Daphnia pulex: one gene and its partner. Each later gene encodes a partner of the first gene's protein in a complex. Links are inferred from orthologs where the notes say so. Each region holds a gene or a part of one and is shown on either strand. Other genes may lie near its edges. The genes, in order: N6-adenosine-methyltransferase non-catalytic subunit-like and pre-mRNA-splicing regulator WTAP-like.

Evidence for each region.
Region 2: N6-adenosine-methyltransferase non-catalytic subunit-like (region 1) and pre-mRNA-splicing regulator WTAP-like share a complex: the UniProt entries of both Homo sapiens proteins name them as parts of the WMM complex. The link is inferred for Daphnia pulex from reciprocal best matches to the Homo sapiens genes METTL14 and WTAP.

Annotation. Positions count from the first base shown.
Region 1 is NC_060026.1:13,573,475-13,585,715, reverse strand, and holds N6-adenosine-methyltransferase non-catalytic subunit-like, read left to right. Parts: upstream 1-4,598; 5' UTR 4,599-4,728; coding exon 4,729-4,762; intron 4,763-4,821; coding exon 4,822-4,931; intron 4,932-4,999; coding exon 5,000-5,289; intron 5,290-5,349; coding exon 5,350-5,566; intron 5,567-5,626; exon of another isoform or gene 5,627-5,630; coding exon 5,631-5,840; exon of another isoform or gene 5,841-5,900; coding exon 5,901-6,073; exon of another isoform or gene 6,074-6,133; coding exon 6,134-6,380; 3' UTR 6,381-6,443; downstream 6,444-12,241. Other genes in the region: DNA topoisomerase 2-like, read right to left, coding at 1-294, 360-654, 720-1,913, 1,981-2,355, 2,421-2,567, 2,628-2,976, 3,040-3,380, 3,519-3,542; ABC transporter G family member 20-like, read right to left, coding at 6,715-7,022, 7,094-7,270, 7,339-7,427, 7,487-7,557, 7,632-7,747, 7,803-7,980, 8,042-8,252, 8,322-8,707 and 3 more. UniProt on the Homo sapiens protein: The METTL3-METTL14 heterodimer forms a N6-methyltransferase complex that methylates adenosine residues at the N(6) position of some mRNAs and regulates the circadian clock, differentiation of embryonic stem cells and cortical neurogenesis.
Region 2 is NC_060020.1:5,266,928-5,279,207, forward strand, and holds pre-mRNA-splicing regulator WTAP-like, read left to right. Parts: upstream 1-4,387; 5' UTR 4,388-4,503; coding exon 4,504-4,654; intron 4,655-4,727; coding exon 4,728-4,852; intron 4,853-4,958; coding exon 4,959-5,379; intron 5,380-5,614; coding exon 5,615-5,937; 3' UTR 5,938-6,143; downstream 6,144-12,280. Other genes in the region: protein turtle-like, read left to right, coding at 470-2,360; uncharacterized protein LOC124193179, read right to left, coding at 3,254-3,321, 3,397-3,573, 3,635-3,985, 4,063-4,132; uncharacterized protein LOC124191909, read left to right, coding at 8,420-8,423, 8,526-8,944. UniProt on the Homo sapiens protein: Associated component of the WMM complex, a complex that mediates N6-methyladenosine (m6A) methylation of RNAs, a modification that plays a role in the efficiency of mRNA splicing and RNA processing.

The DNA of each region.
Region 1 (12,241 bases):
GGAGTTTAAAAGCCTTATGCAGTCCCTCGGCTTCTGCCTGTTGCATCTTTTCTTCCGACATGGTAACGATAAATCGCACAGTTGTATCCGTATGGTATTCCTTGTAGTCAGTGATAAGGGGCGGGATTTTCTCTGAGCCGTGCAACAAGGTCTCCATTACGGATTCCTTGTAGTTTTGAGTCCAGACACGTAGAGGAAGTTCCGTAATTTCCATTTCCGTACCGCTCAGAACTGCTAATTCACCGCTGATAGCATATCGGTGGCGATCAATCCTTTCAATAGTACCCCTGTAACCTGAATAAGTAATAAATATAAATTATTTTTCTTGGTAATCACTTTTTTACATTCCACTCAGTTACCTTTGAACCACGGATCCATAGGGATGGGTTCTTCGCCGTCTAACATCCGCTTGACATTAGCAACGACCTCTCGTGGATTGTAATTCAGAATCTTTGTCATCCAACCGGTACCGATTCCGTCAGTTCCGTTGACCAAGATCATAGGAATAATCGGAGCATAATATTCGGGTTCGATGCGTTGGTTATCGTCCATTTGATGTTTCAACAATGGATCATCGTGTGGGTGAAAAATAATGCGAGTCAGCTTGCTCATCAAAGTGAAAATATAACGAGGGCTGGCAGCATCTTTACCTCCCTGTCGATAAAAAAAGGAAGAGGTTAATAAATATCGTCAGGCACAAATTCTTGGGGAAAAAATACCTGGAGGCGAGTACCAAACTGGCCATTGGGAAGAAGCAAATTGATATTGTTGGATCCGACGAAGTCTTGAGCCAAACCAATGATTGTGCCCATCAAAGAAGCCTCGCCGTGATGGTATGCCGAGTGCTCAGCTACAGAGCCAGCCAATTGGGCGACCTTGATCTCTTTCTTGTCATTTCGCTTGATGCAAGTAAAGAGGACTTTACGTTGCCCAGGCTTGAAACCATCCATGAGTGAAGGGATGGATCGTTCGTTGTCCATGTTGCTGAACAGCACCAATTCCTTGTTGACGAAGTCACGGTAGCTTACTCGTTTGGTGTCTTTTTCGTACAGATAAAGCTCAGGCAGTCCAAGTTCACGGCGCCTCTTGCACTCCTCCATCCAAGAAGTTAGCCACTCTTTGCGCTGTTCAATGTGCTTCTTGCTGAAAGCCATCAAAATAGCGTAGTCATCTTGGTCTCCATCGTGGTGGAAGAGAATTCGATGTCGCTGCATGTCGGAAAAGTAACCTTTTGCTTCTTGGGACGTCGAAGTTCCCAACCCCTTGTAGTACTTGATACGATAGGTAGGCCAGTTCTCTGTATTGGTCTTCCATTCTTCAAACTCGGGCAACGAGTAGAAGCTTAGTGACTTGGCTGATGCCCCTGTTCCTTTGGTGGCTTTGACAATGGGTGTGATGAATTCTTCAAGGAAGGGTAAGCGCAATAGTGATGGCCAATTATGGTGCAAGAAGTTGATGAGCAGGCCTTTAATGTGAGAACCATCCTGATCCTGATCAGTCATGATCATTAAACGACCATAACGAAGTGATTTGAGATCTTCAACAGACTCGTATTTCTTCTTGTACTGCAATCCAAGGATCTTGATCAAATTGTTGATTTCGGCGTTCTCCAGAATTTGTTTATGTGTGGCTTCCCGCACATTGAGCACCTTTCCTTTGAGAGGAAAGACACCGTACTTGTCACGGCCGACCACACCAAGACCAGAAACAGCTAGGGACTTGGCTGAGTCTCCCTCAGTTAGAATGAGAGTGCAGTCGATCGAATGTTTTGTGCCAGCATTATTAGCGTCTTCTAGTTTGGGGACGCCCTTCAATTTTGTTTGTTTCTTGCCACTACAAGCCTTGTTCAATTCAGTTTGCGCCTTAAACTTGGCCCAGGTCATTACACCTTCTATAACGCCAGACTTGTTGAGCTGCAAAGGAAAAAACATTTTATATATACATTAAGAGAAATAACTTCAATTATTTTTGTTTTCTTACCGCGTTAAAAAACTTTTCGCTAGGTTTGCAAGTGGAACCAAAGCTTTTGGCCTGGAGAGTCATGTTTTCCTTGGTTTGAGAATCGAAAGTTGGGTTGACGATTAAACAGTTGACGAAAATCCACAGGTGATTCTTTATCTGATGAGGTTTGACATTAATGCCACTCTTGTTTTTCTTTTTAAGAAATTCCTGCAAATATTTTGATACGATCTCAGTAACGTAGTCAACGTGTCGCCCGCCTTTAGTAGTTGCGATTGAGTTTGCGAATGAAACTTGTTGGAATCCTTTGTCGGAAGGAGCTACCGCAATCTCCCAGCGTTCACTAACAGCTTCATACACACATTTAAGTTGAGCTCCATCATCATCTTCTTTACCCTAAATTGAATAATATGGTAAGCTTGTTTCTTTATTATAATCAATGAAAAATGTATCAACAATACCTTCAGACAGAGATCAACGTAGTCCTTGAAATTCTTGATAGGAAGACGTTTGCCGTTAAGGAAAACTTTCACGCCACGAGTTGAAGCGGCTACATCAAAAGCACGGCGAGACAGAAGAGCAACTGTGTCCTTATCCAGGGAATCCATCTACCATAAAACATTGAATGTAATTTTTTTATAGGAATAAAATTATACCAAGATGTTTACTTTGAACTTTGCCAGATCAGGGGAGAAAGTGATTTGTGTAAAATCTGCTTCATTGTAGTTCACGATCTTGGGAGTTCCAGCTTTAGTCATGTTGTCAGTCCAGGTTTGCTTGAATTTTTTCTTCTCATCTTTAGATGCTGTTTCCAATTCAAATGAAGTGCTGAAAATGTTGCACAGTTTTGCACCATAACCATTTCGACCACCAGTTACTTTTTCTTCTTCATCATTGTAGTTGGATGAAGTAAGTAAGTGGCCAAAGATCAGTGAGGGAACATACATCTTTTCTTCCTTGTGTTCCACAACAGGAATGCCTTTTCCATTATTGTAGATCGTGATGACATTTTCTTTCCTGAAAGAAGCAGAAACCACGATTAAAAAAACTTATAACACACCAGCACATGTTTAAGCTTACGGATCAATGTCGACTTTAATGGTATCCATCTTGGAGTCTCTGACTTTGTTGTCTGCAGCATTGACGAGAATTTCATCAAAGATCTTATACAGTCCGGGTACGTAAGTAATTTCTCTCTGGATCATTCCAGCATCTTCTTCATAAACCCACATGACATCTTTAACAGGTTCCACTGATCCAATGTAGGTATCAGGCCTAAGCAAAATGTGCTCAAGCTGACTTTTCTTCTGGTAAATTCTTTCGACTGAAAGTCTCTTGTTGGCTCCATTCTTCTTGCCAGCATCTCCATTCGTGGCAGCCTCAGATGCAACAGTACCTTTGTTCATTTTTGCAAACAAAGACTAAAAAAAAAAAAAAACAATATGTTAGATCACACTTCACATCAAGAATAGTAAGACGTCACGTTTTGGATCACAAAATTTCTTTCAAAACATTCATGTTGTAACCTTGAAAGCATGTGAGTTTCATTCAACAACTACCTTTAATGGCCCATCAGAAGCCATCCTTGGCGAAAGTATAAGCTTAAAATTCGATAAAAGGGACAGAATGGCTATTTGCCTAGGAAATTATACACTATGACAACCACTATAAAAAAACGCCGTTTAAAATACTGTCGACGCGTCGAGTGAAACTGAAATTTCGAAGCGACTTTTTTCGAACCAACGGAAACGTTGAGTGAAACTACAACGTTGCCACTCGGTACCGCCAAGTCAAAAAAATTTATTTGTTTCTCATTGGTTGTTAGAGATGTCTAAAGGGGTTGGGAAACCCCTTACTGTTATACTGTTACATTACATTGGTTTTTTTGGTACAATGATTTAATTGATAAATTAACACTTGACAACACAAAACAAGCTTACCTTTTCCTGTTGACTTTAAAAAGCCAAAAAATAAGATTGTCTGCGACTCAGATGAGTACTTGTGCTTTAACAACTTTGTAAATTTGTGAAGAAAGCCGTACTACTTTGTGAATAAATAGAATCTAAAACAACGAAAAGGTGCTTTTTCGATCCTTTTCCGTGTAGAAAAACTCTCAAACCATGCTGGTTGAGCTCTAATGTAATGTCTTTGATTGTTTCGCTTCAGTTTAGAGTGAAAAGGGCGCGTTTCTCTCAAAGATTCGAGACACTGACGGTACCTCTCTGCTCACTTTTAACACAGCGTGTAAATTTTGCCCTTGGTAGATACTAAACAGCAACAATGAGGAATCCCGCTGATCGCTGATGTGCCGAAAACGAGCCGAAACATCTTTGCCGGAGCTTGCTTTTTCTGTAATATTGTGACATGCAGATATTCAAATGTATTCAGTTTGCATACTTTTTAAAATTTTAATATATTTCAACTTGCAAATGACTTTCGAAATTTTAAATTTTTGAGTTTTGAAATACCGGAGTTCGGCCATGGTTAATTCGGCCGCTGACGGTTTCAATTAATTAATCAATATTATTTTAAATCTTATTTTAACCGATAGAATTCAAATTAAGTGCTTTGATATTTCATGCTTGCAAGTATATTTTGCCCTTTTCATCAAATATCGAAACAAGACATTGATTTACAAGCGGCAACTAAGGTAAATAATAATGGCGGACTATTGAATGGTTAGGGTTTTTAAATGTTTTGATATGTTAAAGGTGTACTCCACAGTCAACATTGAGCACTGTGTCGGTATTTAAGCATTTGATATCTATAATGGCAAATTATGTGGATAATTCCAGTGTACAAGGTGAAATCAATTTAAGTGGCTGAATCAATACAATCTGTATCACTGCCTTCTCCCTTTAGCAGAGACAACTGTCACAGAAGAAGAAAACTCTCTTAATATGGATAAAGTGGACCTTCTAAAACAGAGAAGAGAATTGTCCAGAAAACGGAAACAATGTCTCGTACAGACCGTGAGTATTTATTGTGCTTTAGTTTAAAAATTCACATTTTCAATCTTAGCTTACGTTTTTTTAACCAGTTGGGAATGCAGTCAGTGGAGAAATTGAAAGAGGCATTGGGAAGTGGCACAGATAGTTCCAAAGCAGAACCAGGAATGGAATTACTTAGACCTTCAGAGAAATACATAAAAAAGAATGCTAATGCCGACGGAAGTCAACAAGACGAAGAGACAAAACTGCTTTACACTGATTCGTCAACCTTTCTAAAAGGAACACAGTCTTCCAACCCTCACAATGATTACTGCCAACATTTTGTTGATACTGGACAGAGACCCCAAAACTTTATAAGAGATGTTGGCTTGGCTGATAGGTAAATGATTGGGCAAATCTTCCCTAAAGCAATTACCTACTAAATTAACCATTTTTATAGGTTTGAAGAATATCCCAAGCTCAAGGAACTTATTCGGTTGAAAGATGAATTAATCGCCCAGACAGCTTCGCCTCCCATGTATCTGAAATCCGATTTAAAAACGTTTAATCTCAAAGACATTGGTTGTAAATTTGACGTGATCCTCATTGAACCTCCTTTGGAAGAATACCAGCGTTCTTTGGGTGTGACCAACGTCGATTTTTTGTCATGGGATCAGGTAAATATATATTGAACCACAATATAATGAATGATTGTGAATTAATGGTTCTTTTTCCGCTTAGATTATGGAACTCGACATAGGTGAAGTTGCTGCTCCTAGGAGTTTCATATTTTTGTGGTGTGGTTCCAGTGATGGACTAGACTTGGGGCGTGTGTGCTTGCGCCGATGGGGATTCCGGCGATGCGAAGACATTTGCTGGATAAAAACCAATGCAGACGCTCCGGGTCATTCGAAAAACCTCGAGCAGAAAGCCGTTTTCCAGCGAACCAAAGTAAGACCATTTCAATTTCGTCTAACCAAATGCTTTTACTGATGTACTGATTTTGAGTAGGAGCATTGTCTGATGGGAATCAAAGGAACAGTTAGGCGTTCCACGGACGGAGATTTCATCCATGCCAATGTCGATATCGATTTGATAATTACGGAAGAACCCGAGTATGGATCTCTGGAGAAACCGTCCGAAATTTTCAACATCATTGAACATTTTTGTCTTGGCAAAAGGAGGTTAGGAATTTATTTTTACGGTCACTTCATTAGAATTTTAATTAATAATTAATTTTTAAGGCTCCACTTATTCGGGCGAGACAGTACTATTCGACCGGGTTGGTTGACGGTTGGTCCAGCGTTAACAAACAGCAACTACAACGCAGAAACATACGCTGGCTACTTTAATAGTAACTGTACGACTACCGGATGCACAGAAAGGATTGAAGCTCTTCGCCCTAAATCTCCTCCACCCAAAGGCAGCAAAGGGGCAGGAGGTGGACGCGGAGGTTTTACTCGGGGCGCAGCGCGTGGCAGGGGAAGATGAAATAAGCATTACTTAATTAATTTCTAAGGCATTAAATTGCAAATAAACGTTTTGAGTTTTCAATTCTGTTTTGCAACACTTCGAAAGTTAAGATAAAATTGTGTAACGCATTTAAGGAAATGACGCGAATAGATGATTCTGTTTAAATTACAAAACAATTTGATAACTTTATTGCCATTGGTATCAGGCAAAATTAATATTGTTTGGTAGAGTTAGACAAAAAATTGACAGCTATTTGTTAATTCAGAATAGGTTAAATGAACCGTGGCATACTTGTTAATACGAATAACTTACGAATTGGAAATTTGATTCACTTATAGATGGACCGGCTGTTTTAGCTCGAAAATTTGCGGTAGCGAATAACTGTCAACGTCAATATCGTCAATCCAAATATCCATGCAAAGCTTACTAAAAATCCCATGTAGACATCAGGCATTTCAATTCCCCAACCGCGGGAAAGAATACTTCTCAAACACTCGATGCCATACGTGACCGGTAGGAAACGGGCAACCTTTTGTAATGCCGGAGGCATCCCTTCTACCGGCCAACAAATGCCTCCCATCAGTAAAATCGGGAGAAAATTGGCTTGCGTCAGGTAAAGTGCTCCGTTAGTGTTATCGCAGATGGCAGCGGTAAACATACCTATTGAGATTTAGACAAAATGTATACAATCATTTAAATTTTTTAAAAGAATCAACTTTTTCGTTGTATACCAAAGCATATTCCAATGAATCCTTGGAGGAGGGTAATGAGTAACGCCAGGGCCACACTACCGTGGCAAGGTACTTTGAACATCAGAAACATGACCACAAAAACTGCCGACGTTTGGCAAACCGTGATGCAAAACTGAAATCCAACGTGACCAACAAAAATGTCGACAATTTTCACGCCTGTGGATAGAATGACCCATTAATGAATTACAACGGTGATGAATTGCTTTCAATATCGACGTACGCACCAGCCACTAAGCTACGATCAACGAGACCTTGTTGTCTTTCACCGACAAATACACCGGTAATAAAAACAAGCGACGATGAGTAGATAATTCTAAAAGGATAGAATTAGTTTAAAGAAAATTATGTGCGAAATTCAGTGAACAGACTCACGCTATAATAAGGCCGGAGGACATGGCCTCAGTATACTGGGTATCTTTTCTGCCGTAAACTGGATCTGTAAACTAAAATAAGAAATAGACGACAATTAATTGAATTGTACGAGATGTTATGAATTAATAATCAAATTTGTTTCTACCTCGATAGGCATGTAGCCCGCCTCTGGCTCATGCCCACAAGCTATCAATAAACCTCGGGAAAAATCCCGAAAAGCTTCTACAAGCCACTTGTTTAAAAACGCATCGATTTGTTGATCTGAAAAACCACGTAAGAAAATATTTCCTTATCATTTTTAAAAAAATTAACTCACTAGAAGAATCGATGTTGATGCTAATTCGACTGCGTAAGATATTATCCAATTTTGCCGAATCGCCAAGAGACTGTCGAATTTCATACTCCTCTGTAAAATTCTGTCCGAAATGGATGACACCCCAAACTTCACCATTTCTTCCGGCTTCTAAAGCTTCCGATACATTATCGTACGGAATCTGAACATTGCCGAAAGTATCGTAATTTTATTTAGCTTAAATTTTTTACAGAAAAGTCTACCTGAATAATATTGTCATTGATGTACTGAAGGTAGCGACAGCTGAGCATGGAATACGCGCAATCCATCGTGTTATTGATGCAAACGCGTCCCTGGCTCAGATTCAGTTCATCATTGACGATGGCCATCTTGAGGTAAGTGGGCTCTCCGCCGAGTGTAACATTAAACAGGGCCGTTTGGATAGCAGGCAAGAAAAATGATACTAAAAGTATCCTTAAGTCCCAAAAATAATTCGGTTAATATTTTTAGTGAACTGGTTAATTTTATGCAAATTCTATATACCCAAAATTCCGAATCATCACCAGGGCATTTTTCCTTAAAAGTACACCAATGAAATGAGGTGTCGGCAGTGAAGATTTCAAATTAAAACTTTTACGTTTTCTGGCAACACTTTTGATTTTGTCGCCTTTTTCATTCGGCGTTCGTTTTCCGATTTTATTAGAAGCTTCCGCGCTACTTTCTGAAGGCTGAGGCTCAATTTGAGTTTCGACGGGAGCCGCTTCATTGGAACTCGTTACATCTTCAGCCAATTGTTTGTCTGAACTTCTACTACCGTCCTTCAAGCTAACCTGTAGGAATACATCCTCCAACGAAGGGAGTCCGTAATCCCTTATCAAATTTTCCGGCGAATCTTCGACTAGAACACGACCGCCCCGCATCATTCCAATCTTAAAACACAGAATAACAATTGATGATTAGATTCACAATCTTTTAACAACTCTCATACCGTGTTAGCTTGTCTTGCTTCTTCGATGTAGTGAGTCGTGACGATCACCGTTTTGCCATGGTCAACACTTTGGCGGACAAGATGATTCCAAATGCTGCGCATTGTCAAATAAGAAAATTTGAATGAATGAGAATAGCGATGGGAAATTGAACAAAATTACCTGTGCCTAAGCAAAGGATCAACGCCAACTGTCGGTTCGTCCAAGATGAGCAAATCAGGTTCGTGAAACAAAGCGACGGCGAACGAGACGCGTCGTTGCTGTCCGCCACTCAGCGTCTTGACGTAACGATCACACGAGGGTAGATCCAATAACTTGGACAGAAACTTCAATTGCGATTTCACAAAAGTCGCTTTCAATTTGTAAAGGCGGCCAAAGTATGTCAGTGTCTCCTTGATGGTGAAGTCGCCGTACAGTGCCAATTCTTGTGGCATGTAGCCAACCTGCGGTCCGGGAATTCCGCTTTTAGGCGATCCCGGTTCGTGTCCTAATACTTGAATTTCTCCACTGTTTAAGGTACGCAAAGCGACGAGACAACTTAAAATGGTAGTCTTGCCACAGCCACTGGCTCCCAGCAATCCGTATCTATAACAGTTAAATTTGATTGCTTTTCAAATTAGAAAATTCGACGGAATCTTTGGCCAAATCTTTTGTTTTCACAATTTTCCCGAACAAAACTAAATGAAATGCCACTGAAAATAAAAAGATAAAAAATAATTGTTCCATACATTGATCCTTTTTTAACGGTCATGTTTAATCCTTGAAGAACTGCGCATTTGTTACGTCCAGATCCGAAGGTCTTGGTCGCATTGCGGATTATAACACTGTTGACACCAGAATCACTTGGGTTGTCGTTTTCATTATTAATCCGGTGTGACGAAGCGAACACATCCGCCATTTCTTCGATAATCTCTTCCGTCATGTTTCTGAGAATTGTATTCCTGTGATGCAAATTATTCAACAGATAACACAATCAGAAAATTAATGAAACGAGAATACGACACGATTAAAACATGCGAGATGCAACAAGCGAGATTCGGCTGTGGCAGCTCGGCTGCAATTGACTACGTTTCTCGAGATAGGGGCCAACTAATTATGAATGAAGCTGAACCAAAGCTTTTTTTTTCCTTGGGGTAAACAGGTTTATCAAGTTCCTTTCCCTTTCAGTCCACTAGTCCTGGTTAGAAAATCATTTACAAAAAGCAGCCATATGTGAAATGGCGATGGTCACTCAAACAAGATTTACAGCATTTTCAGACAACAAAGGGGAAAGAAAATAATTAACTTTGATTTCCGTTTGAATGCCCGAAAATTCCCCACGAAAAATTGCAGAAAAAGTAGTAACAAATTCACGTTATCTCTTAGCTCATCTTCAAGAAGGTAACACTTAACAGACTGCAAATTCTTTCACGCAGTTTCTTACAAATTTCTGTTTGAAATCGACAGACAAAAGCGGATAATTTTCTAGCTTTTTTTTGAAAAAAAAAGCCGGTTTTCCAACATTTCACATTTAAAATCAAAAGAGCCGGATCTCTGATGTAGTGTGTGATCTATTTCTGAATTGAAGAAACTGCAATTAATGTCGCCCGGTTTATCAAACAAATTATTTGGTCTAGTTCAATCCAGATGATTTGGTTCAGACAAGTGAAAGTGAAGGCTCCCCAGTTAGTCACAAATCAAACACTCTTTTGGGGGTTGTCATTGTGACCAATGTCGGCATAGCATATGACACATGAAACGAGTATATAGCAAACAAAAAAAACTTGTTTTGTATGTACTTATCTTACTTTCTATTTAGAATATCTGTTCAATATCTTGCTGGTACAATCGGCGTTTTACCAGGGCTGAGTGGAAGATAATTGTTGAGCTATTATTCACCTGAAAAACAACAAAAAAAACATCATTTGAATATTGTCACCTTTCCAGAATAAATAATTAGAAAAAAAAAATGAAAAAAAAAAAAATGATTGGAACCATGCCCTGATTGTAATCACGAAAACGTACACAGTTAAACCAGACACGTGATTTCGAGAAACCCCAGGCAATATTATATACCCACTTAAAGATTTGTGACGCGTTATAATGATTCACGATTTCATTACATAACTTGTAAATTTCTCTGCCTGTCGCATTCTTATATTCAGCTCTGGGACGTTTCAGAGAGATTTTTGCATATTTGCTTTCACTGCATTGCAATGTGAAAATAATATAAGAGGCAAACGAGCAGGTTGTTGATAGCTGAATTCCACATTGCGCAAGGTGTTGGATTTTTAGTTATTGCCGCAATTTGAATTCTTGTATCAAGAGATTTCTTCAATGCCACTACCAAATTTTGTTATCTCACTTTCTAAATGAAATGTTAATTTTCTAATACGACTTGAGTGTAGTCTCAAACAGGATGTGGGGAAAATGACTCATCCCGGATTTCCCCCAAAGCGCCTTCATTATTACATTCCCCTGCACGAATCACGAACAACAGTTTTTGCACATTTCTTCCGAGAACCAATCTTAAAGCAATTTGGCGCAAGTCTAGACTTCAATTAAAACCCTCGCGGGGCTATTGAGTAGGCGAGTTAATAAGCAACAAACGATGAACAAAACCCTGAAATTCCATCGTAGACCCTAATTTCCCAAAAAACCTTGGATCAGCTGTCCTTGGCGTAGCGCCAAGGACTTTATTTCTACGCTTTTAGGAAAGGCACGTGGAAGATCAAAAACGGTACCATAAGAAAATCATAGTCAAGATATCGTGAATAAAAACGATTTCAGTCGCCTCTACAATTCTACAAAACCGCATTTAGACTTTTCATTACGACGCACTTACCAGCCGTGTGTTGAGCTGCAGTCGAAGAGTCCTGGCATTCATTTTCAGTGACAAATATGTCAATAATTGAATTAAGCCCCGAACAAACATCCTAATAAGAAAGAAACAAAATTGTTAATTAATTGAGCAACACCAATATGATTAATCAAATAGTAAAATCATATCTTATTGGACTCCTTTCTTCGTGGATGTAGACCACCATTTTTCCACAGTCGACACGTGGATTTGACATTAAGACGACTCCAAATGCTGTGATGGAAATCCATGGCACTTAACAACGTGACAAAATCATTCTTATTACATTGAAACAAATGAAATCCACAAAAAGTGAAGCACTCAACGATATCGTTAAAATACGTAGACTGAATAACGAAGAAGAGAGAACTGTCTAGATAGAATCATTCTTGCACACTGACTTGACGAATGACGACTCAACTAAACAAAAATTTTGCGTACCCTCACCTACATTACAATAATCCTTGCATAAGGATGGGTTCGCAAAACATTTTACCTCACCTAGCTTAGTTGATTCATTTTCGAAACGGATAACCGGTAACGTCAACTTGAAGAAGAGCAGACGACGAAATGGCGGAAATGATGTCGGATCAAATCAGAATCCTTGATAAATTATCATTTATCAATGCTAATTATTA
Region 2 (12,280 bases), on another chromosome or scaffold:
GTGGGTGAAATTTCACCCACGACTGTACTTTACCTATCGTGCACCCGAAATTGTCATTCAAGCCTAATTGTTTCATTCCTGCTAAAAGTTGCGATTTTACACCACGTAGTACTGTCTTTCAGAATTATAAAACTCCCTATCAAAGAAGGAAAAACAAATTGAATGACGGTTTGATGTGTGCAAATATCAACCAAGATGAATATACTTGTTTGCTAGTCCTTTCGGAAAACCATTCCGCCACAAGTTTTTTTTTATTTTACAAAAAGCATGCTATTCGACCCGCACTCGATATCACTCGCCAGCGAATGTTCTCCGGAGGCTTTCGGAAAACTTTACGTTTCAAATTTGCCAGTGCCGTCAAGTTATTAGACGACAATCAACATTCACTTTAATAATCTTGAAATACCCGAGTCTAATTCATGTTTTTGCATTCTTTGTTTTGTTTGCTATGTGGTTGATGTCATCGCAGAGGATGGATTGGCCGACTGCCCTCTATAACGCGATTGTCACACTTGAAGCGAGGAGCAGCTTCTATCCGCCACGTTCTATACATTTGTCCAATTGAGCTGCCGGAGCAAGATCACGAAACGGGAAGAACGTCGGTAGCAACGAGAACAGGAAACTTACCGCTTGGAACAGGAACGACTACCACTGATGCTGACGACTGGCTTGAGTACGGCGCGGCTGAGTTGCAAACGCGAAGCACTAGACGACGATTGGAGGCTCGATACAACGTCCAGGCCGAATTTCTCCAACCAGCTGGATGGATTTCTCGAACACCAGAGGGCAAGTTCGTGGTTGCCGATGAAGGTGCTCGGCAGATCCATCCAACTTACGGCTCCTATTCACCAGCTATAAGTCCCGTTGTCGAAAGTGGAGTTTACCGAATAGGTGGCGACCGACTTATCTGGCCACGACCGAAGCCAATTTTACGCAGGGAACTAAGCCCTGTACCACCTACTAGTGGTATATTGCCGGCTATGATATCTCCACCGACTAATTATCCGTTAGCCATGTCATCCCATCCAACAGTAACTTCTCCCCAATTCGGCCGACACGCAATCCCGTCGCAGCCGTCATCTCCTCATCATTTGATACCTGGCAGTCGCCAAGAAGCGATTAGATCTAGTTCACCAGGTCCGGGACTCCTACTATCCCCCTCTTTAGCAAACTTTAGCGACATGAGTTCGGTTCGTCATCCTAGCTCAGCAGAACGATCTTTGCATACCACATTCTCGTCTCGCCTTTCCTCTTTTCAAAAGCAACAGACACCAGACTTACCTCCGCGTCAAAACAGGCTCAACCGTTTTTTCCCATCTGCTGTCGCTCTCTCCTCCTCCGTAACGCCAAATAATAACTACATCCACGAGCTTCCTGCCCTTCTACCGATTCATCAGCAGCTGATTGTCCAGCAGTCACCCAGACGACAAGTCTCACCTCCACTAGAGACGATGCGTACTGTTCGCGCCGAAGTCCATTCGACTGAGACACCTCGCAGTGGGTCAAAGCAACGTGTTCAAAACGAGTTCGGCTTGCTCCTGAATACCGCCGGAAGGCATTTTCACGCTCCACCTCCTTTTCGACCGCCACCGCCACCGGTTTATCATCAACTTCCGTATACAATTTCATATCCGTCATCGTTACAGCGGCCACTGGCAACAAGTTCGCCACCACGAAGTCGTCATTTCCCTGAAGGTGCTGGTCCCTTTCCCACAGGAAACTATCCTCGACGTACCGCCGATCTTCTTGGTTCACCCAGGCGACGTTCACCGCTAACAATAGCAGTTCGACTGAGTCCATCTCGGACGCAGCAGCGAATGAGTGAACGAAGCCGTAGTCAAATAGTTGAGTACTCTCCCCAAAGCCAATCGAGTTCGAGCGGATTCGATAGTAAAAACACATCGCAACAAAATCAGAGTTCACAGTCTGGATCCGGACAATCACAGCTCATGGCTACTAACTTCTCTTCTTCCACGCTATGGGGAACGTCTCCACCGAGCCAAATAACTTCAGGCGAATCTACTTACGTCAACTGGCCCGTCAAAGCACTGGCCACGCCTTCTCTATCTCTGCTGGATGCGAGTGTCGATAACCACTACGAATTCGACACGACGCAAAGTCCAAACGAGACGGGGCTACAGGATTCTACGCTTCATACGGCTACTTTCATTCCACCCACGACAACTAGAGCTGTTGATCTATCCACAGATTCCTCTGGACCTGGACCAGGACGCCATAGAAAGGTTGGGCCAATACCGGCACGGTCGGAAAACATTGAAGCTAGGGTTCAAGCCATGAAGGAAGAATTTCAAGAATATCGGAAACGAAGGGCTCGCGGACTACTCGAAAGTGCGTGTTAACTTGTGGTTCTTAAATAATGACTGAAATTAGTGCTAGTTTTTTTTTAAACATTGAATGCCAGAGACAGGAAAGAAAACGAATACTCATTACTTTCAAATTACGCTTCATTCCGCGATCGCTGCATTCCGCATCCTATTCCTCCCAAGTCTCAATTCGTTAGCTATTTGATTATGAACGTATACGTTGTGTGAATGATAGCGTAAATGTGTGCATGCGACTTGTCGTGGTGAGTGTGCTAAATGCACTATTTATCGTGAAGAGATTGATTCAGCAGATAAGAAAAAACATGTATGAACTAAATGAATGAATGTCATCGAGTAGATTTCCCACTGCCAGTTGCTACTGTAATTAAATTCCAGAGAAAATTCATTCTTGTTCAAATTCATCTATTATCTGAGTCTTGATTATTCAACTTCATGCGTAGACAATTAGAGACAGCAACATTCCCATGGAAGATAGAAACTCTGTGGTAAAATTCGTAAACATGACTCGCTCACTCCTACGATTCATTGCTTGCTCCTTCGATTTAGCGCACTTTCTCATTGGATTCTCTTATCAAACTGTAAATCCAATAGACATTTGTCAACCTCGTCTTTGATTATGTATATGCGTGCAAAAATGCGACTCAGAAATAATCTTGTATGGTGTACTAAACATGGAATCATGATGTGCGAGTGTCATCCTAGATTAAGAATATTTCGTTTCATGCCAGAATCCTGTTTCTTTATTAAAAACAGAAACCCAAATGAATGGTTCTGTAATGTTTGTCTTACTTGGTTTCTTCCAGTACAAATTGGAGGCTTGTCTCACCCTTCACATGTGTTTTAAGTCATTTATTTGAAACACCTCAGACATTTTTTTTTTGCACAACTTTTCAGCCAAAACACATAAATCAAGAAACTACCCATCGCATTTTACCAGACAATGCCTGCTTCACTCTGGCTTGTTCAATATCCTTGACTGAAAAAAAAAAACAAACAAAAATATATATATTAATACGTTTTTTTTCTGGCTTCATAACGACTTGGGTCTCACTTGATTGTCGTCGGTTAGATCGACCGTACAACATCCTATGACGAAAATCCTTTGGAACACTGGAGCCTGGTTTGGAAAACTTATTTTTCCACTTCCTTGATTCAAGAACTGCAACACTAAAGTCAGATGATTCCACTTCTCCCGTTTCCAATGGGATGTAATGTTCTTTTTCAAACCCTAGTAATTGTGCAATTTATGAGACAACAGATCATTTATTTTAAAAGCTATCGAAAAATACTTATATGACCACTGGAGGCATTCCCAGATTTAGTTCTCTTTCTTTGCTTTTTCTCAGAATCTTGTTGAGATTGTTGTTGAACAGGTTGAGCTGAAATGACGTCCACTAAGTTATCAGGTAACCTTTTTGAAGCCAAAGACTGAAGGGTTTTAGCTTTCTGTTCTTTCATCAATGCTTCTTTTTTCTGTCTTCGTTTTTTTTGTTCTTCTTTAGTTATGCGTTTGAACTGTTCCTCTGCTTTAAGTATTGAAAGAGCTGCAACTTTTGATTTACTAAAGGATACATCATCAGGAGCTTCATCTGAATCTGACGCAGAGTCATTTTCTTCAACAGCTAGATTTGTTTCATCTCCTGGAAAGAAAAATAAACACTTTGTTGTAACGAGAAACACACAAGTTCCATCAAAGGAATTAAAAGAAATGAAGTACCTGCTGGTATGTTGAAAACCAAATCGCTGTCTTCTGGATCTGGGCAATATTCATACTGCACCGAAGCCATCTTATTTGTATTAAAAAAAAAGAACTTTTATTTTCCACGTTGTGCGAGTGAGACGGACAAGGACAACCAGACATGTGTCAGTACTCAGTAGCAGACAATATTCCGCGTTATTACAAGAATTTGACTAAACTGCGGGTTTACGGACATACCGATGGTAATGTGCGGGGTTAAAAGAAGAACTACTGCTTCTGGTGCTGGTGGGCTGGGGGCTGGCTGGGGGTGGGAAGGTACTTCGAAACTTTTCTGAATACACAGTTGCATTCACAGCAGAGGGATATTGCATTGTAGCCGTAGCTATCATCAGATTTTGAAATTGAGTGGAGACAAGTGTTAATGATCATCGAGCATCAAGCTGTAAGCACGTTATAATAATGGGTGAAGTGGAACGATGCTCTCCTATTAGAGTTTTATTAACTCATGAAGAATTAGTTAATCTTGACAAATCCCAATTACATCAGCAATGGATGAAGCAGGAAAACTACATTAATTGGCTGGAGTCACAGCTATCAACTGCTCAGAATGGTTGGCTTATTTTCTACATTCATACCAGTTTCTACGGTAGCTTATTTGTTTCATTCATTTAAATTACTATCAGCATTGACTCCAGTACGAGAGTTTGAAGAAAAACTTAAACATTCAATTTCATCTGAATCTGGAAGAAGGGAAAATTTTCTTTTAATGCGTTTGAACTCTAAAGAACAAGAAATTCAAGATCTAATAGTAAGTTTAATGAAAATGTATTTGATCAAAATGAATGCAATCACATTCATCTTAATGAATTTTCAGAATTACTGTGCCATTTACTTATTTTCACAAATTATGACAGGTCCAAATTCAAGAACTGAAATCATCACAAGCTGGTAACTCAACATCCTTGAGGTCATCACTGTTAGATCCATCAGTCAATGTTCTAATCCAACATTTGCGTAAAGAGCTTGATAAAGCTAAATCAGCATTTGAAGAAACTCAAAATGAACTGAGCGCTTGGAAATTCACTCCAGACAGGTTTTTCTTTATAGTAGTCTTATTCTATCTTAAGTTACTAACAGCTCACCTCTCTATTCTAAATTTTATTGTTGAAAAAACTTATAGCAATACTGGGAAACGTTTAATGGCGAAATGTAGACTACTTTACCAAGAAAATGAAGAACTAGGAAGGATGATTTCCTCTGGCAGGCTGGCTAAATTGGAAGGGGATTTAGCTCTTCAGCGAAACTTCAGTGAGGAGATGAAGAAATCTCAATCAGGTGAATTAATTTTGTTTACTATATTTCTTTAATTTGATTAAGTTTTGTAATAAGAATGCCACAGTTATGAAATTTGATTTGTTTTTTCTGTCTCAAATGAAGGATTCATAATTTGTGAATTGATTCGTTTCTAGAACCAAAACTTGTTTTCTCAAAAGTGCCTGAATCTTATCATAATTTAAATGTACTGTACTGACTTATCTTTTAATTTTAGCATTTTATTTTTATTTTTCAGAATTAGATGAATTCTTATTGGAATTGGATGAAGATGTTGAAGGTATGCAATCAACTATTTATTTTCTACAGCAACAGTTGCGCCAAACACGGGACCAACTATCTGCAGCTCAAAAAGAAAATGAACTTCTTCGTAATACCAGCACAAACACGGCCAACACAGGCGCAGATGAAGAAAAATCCCCGGTAAACTCTTCTCAATCGGAAAATCAGTTAAACGAAAGGATGTGCGAACCTTCTTATTTGCAGTCGAACTCTTCTCATCTTATGAATGATAGTGATCGGTGTAATGGCCCTCTTCAGCCATCTTTTCACAATGACTAACTATTACTTTAAACTTACCTTTCGTAAAACGTCAAACCTGATTCGATTACGAGTAGTTGGTTTTAATTTTCGTGATGGATTTTCATCGTTTATATCGGGTCTTGGACATATTGTAATCCATTATTTTTTTTTGTGTAGACTTGATTTTTTTATTGCCAATTGTAGTGTACGAGTAAGTTAATACGACGAGTAAAATTTTCTTCAGATCAAACAGCCTTATTATACACTGCGATTGAAGCTGCAAAATTAGTAACAGTTAGTTATAGGCTCGTATCCTATAACTTATTATCTTATATTTCCTATTATTATTATTTCCATTTATTATCCTACATTTTTAATTATTATGATTTTCAATCGTGCCGAAATTTTGATTCGATTTTTCGAGTTTTTTGGGCATATGAGAGGATTGTTGAGAGGATGTTATATTGGTTTTTCCCAGTATGGCGTCATATTCTTCCAAATTTTGCGCGATTCTTTAGTCATGAAGCTTAAATGGCTAAATAGCGATATCTGAAATAATAGATCCTAGCCACCGGTTTTTCTCTTTGGAGCACAAATTCATCGCATAAAAAGCCATTCGGGAAATCGTATGTGTGTGTGTGACATATACGCATTCTCGTTATGAACTTTTTATGAACAAAGTTCTACTAATGAATCGTGGTATTTTTACGATTTCATAAATTAGACTTTACAGATGTAATATCTCACTTTCTAATAATAATAGAATACCTACAATTCGTCAATTCCAGGTAATAAAGTGCGAGTGTGCGACGTGGGGTGGCAGGGTGAAATACCGTCTCGAGCAACTCATCGAGCTTTTGCTAAAATTTCTAAGTGTTTCAAGTATATAAATGAAGTTCAGGACTGAATCTGATGTGATTTAAAGTTTTTTTTATATTGGTTTCTTTTTATTTTATCTTTAGATTTTTTAGTTCCTTTGTTGGATTATTTATCGCGATTTCAGAAATCGCGCCACATTGGTTCATAATTCGACCGCTGAATTTGAATTGGCATTGTCATGACATCGTAACAAGCATCTCAATCTGGTTCTGGAGCGTCTGACTCCCTCCTGAACAACGTGGGAATGTTTACACAAGTGTAGGCGTGTAGGATGTAAAATGTAATCGAACTTCTCACGCTCTTGATTGGGGAAATATTGATATGGTTATTTTTGGTTCCTCTCGTGCCGTCGTTGTCTACGATTCAAATAAGTTATGTGTCTTGCACAGTGCTCCAGCTACCCGAACCCGACTCAGCATCATTCGACTACCCAGCCAACTTGAACTACCCCAGGCCAGCTCTCAATGCAGCAGGGAGTTTCTTGAGGACGACGAGATCATGATTTAGTGAGGAGAATATGTTGTGAGTATCGAGTATTTTTCTTTTGTCTTTTTTTTGTTATTGTTAATTCAATTCATTGTGGATTAGTGTGGATTAGCTAGAACAGGCAACCTTCGATCGTTTTTCCTGGTTTTTCAGCTGTCAAAAGCACCAACTTTAAATACTTTTATTTTTCTTATTTCTAAAGTCATTTATTGGAGTTATTGTGCAAAATTATTTGGGGTGATATTTGACCGTAAGTGCTACAAAGCTCACTTGTTAGATTTTTGATAATTTGCGTTTATATTTACTTCCGATTTCTAAATCAGTTAATAGCTCAGTAAGTTTTCATGTGACACACAAATCAACCCATTATTCATGAATCGTGATCCTCGTCAAATTTGGGGTCGATTTCATTTGTTAGTACAAAATGTCGGGAAATCGTCAACAATCGAGAATTTTCCTGATTGCACTTACGTCTGGTACGAATGTTGCGTGACGAAACCTCTCTTCAGTGTTCACAATCTGTTGGATCGATCACACAATATTGGCCTCTATGTAATTGATCATGTGTTTGTAACTTGGATAAGATTGCAGAGGAATATTTTCATAAAAGCCGACTGTCCTTCAAACGGTTCAAAATGGAAGTTTATTCATTCACCGAAGAAACGAGTCAAATTATTCAAATTTCCATTGGTATAAAGAGAGTTTTAAGCTATAACCATTTAAGTTTTAACTTAGTATTCATTTTGATATTGGTTGTTGTAGACCCATTCCCAGCAACGACAACCTGCAGAAGGAAAGGCACGTAAAACTTGTCATGCAGAGGTTGGGTGAGAACGACACGTGTTACATAACCATTTGGTATTCATTTTGATATTGGCTGTTGTAGACCCATCCCCAGCAACGTCAACCTGCAAAAGGAAAGGACAGTCACACTCGAAGGTCACGGAGAAAAACGTGTCATGCAGCGGTGTAGGAGGTTGGGTGAGGACGGACTTTTTGCATCATTATCAAACAGGTACAACACCCGCAAGGCTTTAGAGGTGAGGGTGAGAAAAAAAATCGTATAAAAGGCGAGAGAAAAGGCGAAGGGAAATCAGTCGAGGGAGCATCTTCGACACGGCAACAACTACAGCGCTCTGTCTGTCAGTTCGCATCCATGGGTAAATATTCTGTCTTTTACATAGAGTTTGTTATCAATCCTTCTTTTGTTTATGTATGCCTGTTATTATGTAATATTTATGTCAACATTTATAATTGTCTAGCAAACTATGGCGTAGTGCTGCTGTTGTGTGTTGAATCATTGATGGCTGGGTTGACCACTGGTGTAGCGATGTCTCCTTGGTATGGCGGATACCAAACTGCAACGCCACCGCCTTACTACCCAAAAGCGACTTACGCAACGACCAGTTACTGCACCGAGGTCTTCAAGTACTACACCGTTAAAGCACCGGACTTGAATAGCACAACTTACGCTGCCCCGAGCCACTACACTGACGGCGTGAAGTATTACTGTGCCCCGAGTTACTACACCACCAAGGCGACGGAGGATGACTACGCATGCTGCCCCATCCTCCGAGGCTCATACACCGAGGCTCCTAAGTATTACTCTGTTCTCATCTACATATTGTACCGATTTTCAATACTACTCTGTTCCCAACTGCTACACCAAGGCTCCCGCTGATTACTACACCGAAGCGGCAAAGTACTACTCTGCCCCGATCTACACAACCATAACTGAGGCGGCCAAGTATTACGCTCTCCCGACCTACTGCTCAGAAGCTGCTCTTTCGTACTACGTTGAACAGGAATACTACACTGATGCTCCAGTTCACTACACCACGACCTACGCTACACCGCAGCCCCAAGTACTACACCGAAGAAGCCGCCTACAACAACGTATGCTGCCTAGTACACTACACCGAGGCTCCCAAGTACTACGTCACTAAGGCACCGGAATTCTACACGTGTATGTATCTACCCCTGCCTACTACACCGAGGTCCCGCATTACTACAACACTGAAGCGCTCAAGTACTACACTACAACCTGCGCTTCCCCGAGCTACTACACCTACGTCCCGAAGTATAACTGTGCGTAAAAGGAGTCTTCAAAACAAAAAAGTGCCCGAACTGCAGTGCCCTATCTGTCACCAACTGCTTTCCTCATCGTGTAACCGATTCGCAATTATGGGTGAATATTCTTATTTTTACACTGAGTTTTGTATCAATTATATTTTTTTCTATTTGGTAATATGCCTGTTAAAATTAGTCAACTATGGCGTCGTACTCCTGCTGGGTGTTATATCATTGATGGCTGGATCGACTGCTGGTGTAGCGATGTCTCCTTGGTATGGCGGAAAGCCGGAAACCAAACCGCAACGCTGCCGCCTTCCTACTCAACTTACTGCACCGATGTCTTCAAGTACTACATTACCAAAGCACCGGAGTTTTATACCACAATTTACGCTGCCCCGAGCCACTACACTGATGCCCTGAAGTATTACTCTGCCCCGAGTTACTACACCATCTAGGCGACGGATGACACCACATGACTACGTATACTGCCTATCCTACTACACCGAGGCTTCTAAGTATTACTCTGTTCTCAGCTACTTATTGCACCGATTTTCCTAAATACTACTCTGTTCCCAGCTGCTACACCGAGGCTCCCGCTGATTTCTCCACTAAGACGGTCGAATACTACACCGAAGCGGCAAAGTACTACTCTGCCCCGATCTACACAACCACAACTGAGGCGGATAAGTATTACGGAGTCCCGACTTGCTACACCAAAGCTTCTCTTTCGTGCTACGTTGAACAGAATTACTACACTGATGCTCCAGTCTACTACACCACGACCTACGCTACACCTAGCTACAACACCGCAGCCCCCAAGTACTACACCGAAGAAGCCGCCTATTACACAACTACGTACGCTGCCTACATCGAGGAATTTAAGTATTACCCTGCTCCAAACTACTACCAAACTGAAGTTCATATTTATTGCAATTCTCCCGATTATGTCACCACTACTCACGCTGCTCCGACCTTTACACCGAAGTTCTGAAGTATTTCTCTGGATGTGTTGAAAGATTGCTGAAATACAAGATTGATAAATAACAAGTCTGTCTATTTTCACTTATGTACCTTTCCTGCTGCTGATAATTGAATGATGTGAGAAAATATTTTGAGTGCTATGTAAACTTACAAATAATTGCTCTTGCATAATACAACAATGAAAATTCAAACTCATGTTCTACATTTCAATATTATTCAGACTTACCTTTTTATAAATTATTTTTCTATCATTAAAATTCAAATCAAACAAAGATTAACAACCTATTTTTCTAAAAATATCAATCATCCACCCTATTATTTCTGCTAAGTCCAGACTTTTGTTTTTGAAAAAATTTTTAAAAAAATTCCCCTTACACTGTTTTTAAAAAATTTTTGCGAAAAATTTTACTCGAATATTTTATTGCAACAAAATTTATTTTATTCGAATATTTTATTTCATACAAAATTTATTTTATAAAATTTACATATTTATTTTTCCTGTGGCCCCCAGGGGGGGGGGCCTGTCGCTTTCTCTACCGCGATAATAATATGATGCAAGTTATATGCAAATTATTATTTGTTTGGCGCAGAAAGCTTGTTTAATCTAGCAGTTCTCGACTGTGTCAAACCTGATATTGATCAGGTTGCCTCAGTCGTATACTGCATGATTGAGTGAAACTCGAAAGACAACAGATCAAACTTATAAGTCAGCACACAGTTAACACAGAGCAATTTCATGGCATGGATGAAAACGACAACACAAAAATTTTGAAGTCAGGAACCCAGATGGAACAGCTCAGCTACAACAGCACAGCAACTTCTGGATTACACTGCAACCGCATGCTGCATACAACAGTTCAATCTGTCTTCGTCACACCTTTCACCATTTGGCTGCAACAAGATGAACAAAGAAGTGTTTGTTATACCTGTTTAAGAAAAGAAAATTATTTTCGAGAAACACAACTGTGTACACATGCATCCTCATTAAACAAAAGAATACAAAGAGTAACAGAAAACTACGCAGTCCAACAGAATAACTTTGATATCTGATTCAAATTTGCTATAGTATCGGAGCAAATTGGTCTACTCTCTAGTCATGTTAACTAAATCTGTAGTACTTTTGCAAGACAGTTGATCAAAATAATTACTTTTTGCTGTTAATGGGATGAGACGTACGCCTAAGAACAGGCAGCGAGACACACGAGGCTCGCCATTTCGGGAATGTACAGGCACTTCCAAGTCTGAGTTGAATGATTTGGCAAATTCGTTTCTACATTCTAAATCACCTGTAAATTTTCAAATCAACATTTTACATTCAATAACAATAGGAAATTAACAATAAATACCTTTTAATTTTCATCGTGAGAAACGTCACAACCAACAACCCATTTCTGCTGCGTCTTGGAACAAAATGGCCCCTTTGCTTCCCTGTCCCTGAAGACACTCGCACCACCTGGTGGACATTATTTCAGCCACTTATTCACAGCCACCTACTGACAGCCATTAGATTCCTGTTCAAATGACTGGACGCAACGGCTGGATTGCTTGCTTCCAGAGACAGCACGCTGCACGCAGCAGCTCAACTTGAATTCGACATGCCTTTCGGCTTTCACTAGCTGGCACGAAATGAATCTAATGAGCATAAACACCAGATTACTCCAGCAGCTTTCCCTATGACACTTTTATTAAATAATAATAATTATAGTAGAACACTTGTAACTTAAACACAGTAGAACTCCAAAGACAGAAGAACTCCACCAACAATACAACCCCAATATTTTATATAGTTTTTTAAAAATTTCGTTGTATGCGACAGTAGAACTCCAAAGACATAAGAACTCCTTTTTAAAATATTATTAAAATTACCCGACAATAGAACTCAAATAAATTCTTTAATTAACTTCATGTTCGACAATAGAACTCCATTGAATTTTAAACATTTTAAATGTCTGACAAAAGAACT